2 linked regions of the Danio rerio genome follow. The protein of the gene in region 1 purifies or fractionates together with the protein of each later gene. This does not show direct contact. Links are inferred from orthologs where the notes say so. Each region holds a gene or a part of one and is shown in the gene's direction. Other genes may lie near its edges. The genes, in order: cdc123 and eif2s2.

Region 1 (4,424 bases):
TGTCTGTCTATCTGTATATCCATCTGTATATCCATCTATCCATCTACCTATCTATCTATCTATCTATCTATCTATCTATCTATCTATCCAATTACATTCCAATCCACCAATCTACTTTAATAACTACTTATTTGTTCAACTACCTATCACACAGGGGTGGATTTACCCATAAGGGAAGCAACCGGCCGCTTAGGGTCTAAACATATATATATATTTGTCTAGACATATATAAGACTTATGAATTATATACAACATAATTTTCTATTATATTTTAAATAGTGAGGGTCTAACAAATAATGACATAACTAATGCATCTGCACCAATTTTTTTAGGAAGGTTGGGCCCAGTTAGGTAGCAGGGGTGGGTGTTACCACCTCTATCACAGCAACCTACAAATTTTCCTACCCCATCATCTAGTTATTAACCCACTAACCTACATACAAGGAAATATGTATTGTTCAAATAAACCAATTCAAACAATATTATTTATCTGATTGTTGTTTCTTGTCATTTTGCTACACTATAAACCAGATTATTCCAATTATATATCTAGAAATAAACAGGAAAAATACTTCAGCGCGTTTGATGCAATTAAAAAATAAACCAGATTATTTTGATCAATGAGAGTATCATCACGTCCACTCAGTCCAGAGGTCACATATCATTCACATACAGTCGATCAATACCTGGTGCTTCCAGAAGGATCCACATAAGTTGTTTTCTCAAGCTTCACCCAATTTCCACTCGCTACCAACTAAAATTCAACACAGAGAGGTCAAATTTAGTATGAAAAAGCAGTTTATAACAACGTTCGATGGTTTACATAATAACAAATCAAAACTTTAAGATGGACCTATGCCTTTAAAAGCAGATTCTTACCTCCTCTTTGATTACATGAGGTTCTGTAGTGGTGGCTTTCGTTGGAGAGCTCATCTTGATCAGTCTGAACAGCTACAGTAATTCTGCACGTACAACAGAAATTAAGTTACAAGGCGCATGATGTTGTCATTGATGACCTCACAGCCTATTTATACGACTTAACACATGACGACATAAACAATATGTCATAATCGTTTAAGTTAGATTGGTACATACCAGCAAAATTGCGGAAATGTGTCAAAAAAATCACAGCGACTTATCCTGACAAACCAAGTGATGTTGTTTAGTTGGTTTTCACACATGTAATCACGTGTTCACCGAACATCTGCCTGCGTGTGTGCAGCTAAAATAGTTCCCCCTCTTGCTGTCTCGATGTTATCGCTGCACACATAATACTGTTAACCAGTTCAACTTATTTAAAATAAAAGAAGTAAGTTAGCGTGTAAAATTCAGAGTGATGGTTAAAACAGAGTTTCGTTTAAACAGAAAAATGCGCAGTCGTGAACCGGAACTGCTGTTATGTGGTACTATCGCCATGTCGGAATGTTTTTGAGGTTGCACAGATTACCAGTGTAACTTTCAGGCAGCATGAAGAAGGAGCAGGTTGTCAACTGTCAATTTTCTGTTTGGTATCCTCTATTCAAGAAACACACTATTAAAAGGTATGAAAGGTGCTTACTTTATGGTAATATATAATGATCGGGGCTCACAGGTACAAAAAAGGAAAAAAAAATCACGCGCTAGGCTATTAAGTAACATTATATAGCAACGTGTACTTAAATACCCATTTATTCTCCAACCATCACACTTACCTACCATCTTAAAGTCTATAATACGTACTATAGCATGTCTTCGAATAATGATCGACATTTTAATTAAAGTATTATGTTGTAGGTAAACATTCAGTGATGATATGTTCTGTTTCCCCAGCCTGATTTTACCCATACCTCAAAATGTAATCGATTACCTATTAGATGATGGGACACTTGTGGTTTCTGGCAGGTGAGATTTGGACAAAAGTATGGTACTTAAAAAACTGCAGCACTTTCCTGTCTTGTCTTTATGAAATAAATGTCTTATTGTGTCTTTTTATAGTGAGAACAACAATTTACAAACACAGGCCAACAACAGTGACTCTGACGAGGAGGACATTCAGGTCAGAGTGTGTATATGTGCTTTTGTGACATATCAGGCCACAAATCTGTATAACGATATAGATATGACACAGATATTACAAGAAAGTGGTGAATTGTGGTGGTGAAGTATTATAAGTACTTATAAGCTCAGAAAGCCATCACCTTTTGGGACTATTATGAACTACTTTCTAACAGAGGCTACATGTGCTGTTGAAGATTACATATGAGAGGTTTGCACTGACTGTGGGCTATATTTCGTGTTGTTTTTTTAAACCCAAATAAGGACTAAATGTATGCTCTGTGTAGTTTTTCTGTATTTGATAACATATCAGAGACTGTAAGTGTCTGTATGTGTTCATACATGTTGCATCTAGTTATTTATTTTACATGATTTCAGACGTTACAGTAGGTTATTTCGCATTATCATTGATCTGCAGTTATAATCAAATCCTGTTCATAGAAAGATTAGTAATGAACATTTATACACAAGTATTTATGTGTATAAAACATCTGTTTCGTGAGAAGTGCTTCTCATAGGATATGTGAACAACCTGTACGGCGTTACATTTCCTTGAGTAAAAATTACATCATCTGAAACTTTCTGTAGTACACCACGTCCACCAACAGGGTACCTTTTTGGCAGTGGAAACGCAAGCTTCAAAAAAAAGTGACCCGTATCGTACATCTCAGTGGAAACGGGCCATAAATCAAATAGAATTAGTTTATTTCAGAAAGTATAACTGCATACCGTTTTCCATGAGGGTTGGGTTTAAGGATAGGGTAGGGTTAGAAAATAGAGTTTGTCCAATGGAAAGCAACGTAATGTCCCCACAATTCACAAAAACAAAGCTGTTGGAGTGAACTATATTGTACATTAAGATATCTGAAATAACGCAGCTTTCTTAATTCTCATAAATGCTTTTGATTCCAGTGGACTGATGATGAAACTACAACGACAGTTACAGTGAGTCTTATTCCTCAGTCAAATTGAGGTAAAGTTGGCTTTATTTTCGTGCATTTGTACATTTCTGAACAGTGACAACTCGTGACACTGTGCCTATATTGTTTACCGTGCTACTTTGACTGAATTATCAGTCTGAAACCATATAAATGCAGCTGCTAAGTATGCTTTGAAGCAAGTGGTGGACAAATGCCAAATTTCCCCATCTTTTATCAATGTTTACATTTTAAACAAGCAACAAAAGGAGTGGGATGCATTGGAAAATAATGAATTATACGAAATACAACTTGAAATCTTAAACAGAATTTTAAGACTTGATCAAGTGGTTTTTAACAGATGTGGTATTGGACATGCATGAATAACCCATAGTTTTTTGCTCCAAGATGAAAACCCGATACTGTGTGTTTGCACAATTACCCTTACTATAAAACATATTTTACTGGACTGTCCTGCTTTTAGGTGGTTCATTCCGCTGTGGCGACCCCAGATTAATAAAGGGACTAAGCCGACAAGAAAATGAATGAACAAATGTATGTCCTGCTTTTAATGATTTCAGAAGACTTTATGAAATTAAATCTCTCAAGGACATTTTTAGCAAAGTGAATATTTCTTTTAGAATTTGTATGATGTGTTAACATTGTTTACAGTCAATTGAATAGTGCTAATGTTGTTTTAAATGGTCATAGGGTTTCAGTAATGTAAGATAATGTATTTTTGTTGGCCTGTGTTTGTGAATTAACACTTAAACTCTTGTTTAATTTATGTATTCGTTTGTTTGTTGATTTTTAATTGTGTATTTATTATTGAAATGTTCCTGCCTTGAAAATAGCCTTGGTTGCTGACATGGCATTGAATAAAAAAATACATTACATTACTTTGCATTACTGAAACCTTATGACCAATCAAAACAAGCACTATTCAATTGACTGTGAACAGTGTTGTACTTTAAGTCAGTCATTGGCTGCTAATATCCATTTATTCATTTTCTTGTTGGCTTAGTCCCTTTATTAATCCGGGGTCGCCACAGCGGAATGAACCGCCAACTTATCCAGCAAGTTTTTACGCAGGAGATGCCCTTTCAGCCACAACCCATCTCTGGGAAACATCCACACTCACACTCATACACTACAGACAATTTAGCCTTCCCAATTCACCTGTACCGTATGTCTTTGGACTGTGGGGGAAACCGGAGCACCCAGGGGAAACCCACGCGAAGGCAGGGAGAACATGCAAACTCCACACAGAAACACCAATTGAGCCGAGGTTCGAACCAGCGACCTTCTTGCTGTGAGGCAAACGTGCTACCCACTGTGCCACTGCCTCGCCGGGCTGCTAATATGATTTCCCTAATTATAATTTGTAAAGGAATACTTTTCTAATATTATATCGTCATAGAAAAAGTCGGAATGTGCAAACATAAAACCAACTTTACCTCATTGTCAACTTAT
Region 2 (3,833 bases), on another chromosome or scaffold:
AGTAAAATATTGTTTTGTTTTCACCGTCAGAAGACATAAATGTAAGTTTAAGAGTAAATGATCTGCCAGTGGGGCAAGTGAAATCTTGTTTTTGCTTTGAAATTGATATTTGGACTAGAAACTAACTAAAAAGTAAGAAAGGTTTTTTTTTTTCTTGCATAAATCGTATACATGCAGTGATTAAATACAATTCTGTGGCTCCTGGTCAGCTATAATTCAGACTAGACATTGCATATCTTTGCAATGTGACTATTGCAAATGCGCACATTGGGATATCGATGCTTAAATGACATATTGTGCAGCCCTAATGAAATGTTTACAGTCTAATTGTGTGCTGTTTATGTGGAAGGTGTCGAAGATGATGACAGTAAAAACGCTGATGACATCACGTTCAGCACACAGACGGGCCCTGCGTGGGCAGGATCAGAAAGAGATTACACTTATGATGAGGTAAATGGCAGAAAAGGCTGGCTTGCTGTGTGTGTGTTTCAGGTGATGAAGGCCCAGAGACTTCTGCCATCTGGTCCATTTATTGGCAGAGTATATTTTACCTGCTAACTTGTCTTTTATGAGACATACTGGAAATGACTACTGATATGCGGAGGATTTTTATTGGTTGTAGTCAGTTCGTTGTAGAAGTCAGTTCTCATTAAGATCACATGCATGTAGTTTATCATGAAAACTGTAGATGTGCTCCAGCAACCTTGGACAACCAGAATGTTGCAAAATACAATTTTAGTTTAGTTCAATAGTCATTTTTTATTTAAACTTAGACACATCTGTTGTTTTAGTGTTAAAATAAACAAACATTTTAATACAGAATAAAAGCTTGCCATGTCTAGGCATGGGCCGGTATAAGATGCTGACGGTATGATAACCTTGGATAAAAATATCACAGTTTTACGGTATTGTAATTACTGCTCTAATATATGCTCTTTTTAAATGTCTGGATAAAAAAAAAACGTTTTCCCCTTTCAAACACGATGTATTTTATTTTAAGAAACATTTAAAATATTTTGGAGCAGTAAACATGTCAGGCTATAATTTAAGTTAAATATTGACTTCAGCTGTCTTCATTTATGTCAAAAGCAGATTTTTTTTCTCACAATTTAAAACACCATCTTTGGATATCTTTTACTGCTGGAGATACTGTTGTCCTTAAAAAAAGTTTTAAAGTTTTGAGTTTTAAAACCTTTCTTTTTCAAACGGCAGTGTATAGACCCATGTCAACAGCACAACCCAAACTCTTCCAGGCCACAACTACAACTTATAGACAAGCCATATACAAATTTGGTAAAGCTTCCTACAGGGTGCCCATAGGCTCCTAAAGTTTTAAAATGTCTTTAATTTAAAAAAACAATTTAGGCCTTAAAATCTTAAATTCACTGAAATATTGTGTCATCGGTCTTAAATCATTTTAAGCAGGTCTTGATTTTCCTAGGTCCATGTAAAGCTACCCAATCGGTCCAACATCCATCACTAATAATCCATCTCAAATTTTTTTTATATACGTTTATATTGTTTTTTTAATATTTTATTTATAATGTTTTAAAAATATCTATTTTATATGTTTTTACATATATTTTTATATTTATTGCAAATAATACAATTCACAACAGCTGTTTCTCACATTTTTACAGCAAATTGTCTTAATCCGGGAAAGAAAACTAAAGCAACACATCCCTTTACATAATCTTCCATTAATACAAAAGCTATTAACAGAAGCAACTGGGCCATTAGAAAAAATCTTTAGTGTTTAACTCCGTATAAGTCCAAAATTTTATTTATAATAGTCTTAAAAATTTATTAAAAAGTCTTAAATTTGACTTTGAGAGGAAAAATAAGTGAAATCCCTCTCCCAAATATAAAAAAAATAAATCAGGGGTATGACTGACAATTCTCAAAATAAAGACACAAAAGTTGGAGTACCAACTTTTTTGTCAGCAAAGAGCAGCTCAACAAAAAACAACTACTTCATACTTTATACGCAAGTGTCCCCATACAAATTTGTTCAAAAGCTATTTTTTCAAGTATTTGGATAAATTGATCACATACTAAGTCAATAAAAATATTTGTGACAGGTGATGTGAATTATGTGACATATTTGAAAATTATTTAACTGGAGAGGAAGTGTTTGGATGAGGCGAACAGCATCTCTTAGGTAATCTAGAGTAAATGTTGTAATGTTTATGTTAGTGGGAACCCAGTATGAGACTTGAAAGTAATGAAGACTTCTTTCAGGCAGTTCAGAACTGATTCTTTCCTTTGAGCCAGTAACACCTTTAATCCTGCAGTTTGATCTTAGAAATTTTAAAGACCTTTTACATTTAGAATCCGCTTTATTAAAGCTACATGAATTGTAATATCCAAAAAAACAATGTGGGGTCACATTAAAACGGAAACTATTTTTTTTTTTTTACTGTGGATGTAACCATTTACCTAATTTATAATTAAATAAGACTGACAATACAGATCTCAAGATATGATTTTTTTCACAAAATGAATTGAGATATGAAAGGAAAAAGTGGCCTTTTATTAGTTCTGAAATACTGCACATTTCTTAGTACAATAAAAATATACACTCACCTGCCACTTCATTAGGTACACCTGCCCAACTGCTCGTTAACGCAAATTTCTAATCAGCCAATCACATGGCAGCAACTCGGCATGTTGACATGGTCAAGACAATTTGCTGCAGTTCAAACCGAGCATCAGAATGAAAAAACAAAGGTGATTAAAGTTATTTTAAATGTGCTGATCTTCTGGGGTTTTTACGCACGGCCATCTCTAGGATTTACAGAGAATGGTCTGAAAAAGAGAAAATATTCAGTAAGTGGAAGTTGTATGGGCGCAAATGCCTTGTTGATGCCAGAGGTAAGAAGAGAATGGCCAGACTGGTTTTAGCTGATAGAAAGGCAACAGTAACTCAAATAACCACTTGCCAAAGTCTACACAAGAGCGTCTCAGAACACACAACATGTCCAACCTTGAGGTGGATGGGCTACAGCAGCAGAAGACCACACTAGGTGCCACTCTGTCAGCTAAGAACAGGAAACTGAGGCTACAATTTGCACAGACTCACCAAAATTGGACAATATAAGGTTGGAAAAACGTTGCCTGGTCTGATGAGTCTCGATTTCTGCTGCAACATTCGGATGATAGAGTCAGAATTTTGCGACAACAGCTTAAAAGCATGGATCCATTCTGCCTTGTATCAACAGTTCAGGCTGGTGGTGTTGGTGGTATAATGGTTTGGGGGATTTTTTTTGGCACACTTTGGTCCCTTTAGTACCAATTGAGCATTGTCAACGCCACAGCCTACCCGAGTATTGTTGATGACCATCTCCATCCCTTATGACCACAGTCTACACATTTTATGATAGCTACTTACAGCAAGATATTGCGTCATGTCACTATCAATCCAATGGAGCACCTTAAATTATTTTAATTTCTCAGAAATTAAAACAGAGTTTGCAGCAAACATAATGGTCCCCCACTGTAGTACAATTTGTCTAACTTCACATATTTTAATTGAGTTTCAACTGGATTATGGGGAATCATTACATCCCTGTTCTTCATGTTAAGCATTTTTCCTGACACCAATACATTTGATTACTCTTGAGACTAAATAATGAGTTTATAAATAATTATAGTTTGTTAAATAATGACTGGTTGCATCAGCTCTTAAGATTAAAGGTGACTGAAAATATCACATGATTTTAGCTTTTGAACAGGGTCTTTAACATCATGAGGGAAAAGAATCCAGACATGGTCGCCGGAGAAAAGAGGAAGTTTGTGATGAAGCCTCCTCAGGTGGTGCGGGTCGGCACTAA

The links.
Region 2: the proteins of cdc123 (region 1) and eif2s2 purify together in Homo sapiens (affinity purification with mass spectrometry; 4 studies listed by BioGRID and IntAct, counting the BioPlex papers as one, with this or other methods). This does not show direct contact. The link is inferred for Danio rerio from reciprocal best matches to the Homo sapiens genes CDC123 and EIF2S2.

What each region holds. Positions count from the first base shown.
Region 1 is NC_133179.1:8,360,530-8,364,953, forward strand, and holds the start of cdc123 (translation initiation factor eIF2 assembly protein), read left to right. Parts: upstream 1-1,440; 5' UTR 1,441-1,467; coding exon 1,468-1,541; intron 1,542-1,809; coding exon 1,810-1,881; intron 1,882-1,974; coding exon 1,975-2,035; intron 2,036-2,946; coding exon 2,947-2,979; intron 2,980-4,424. Other genes in the region: nudt5 (ADP-sugar pyrophosphatase), read right to left, coding at 687-754, 880-933. UniProt on the Homo sapiens protein: ATP-dependent protein-folding chaperone for the eIF2 complex. Binds to the gamma subunit of the eIF2 complex which allows the subunit to assemble with the alpha and beta subunits.
Region 2 is NC_133181.1:52,639,666-52,643,498, forward strand, and holds part of eif2s2 (eukaryotic translation initiation factor 2 subunit 2), read left to right. Parts: intron 1-349; coding exon 350-450; intron 451-3,723; coding exon 3,724-3,833.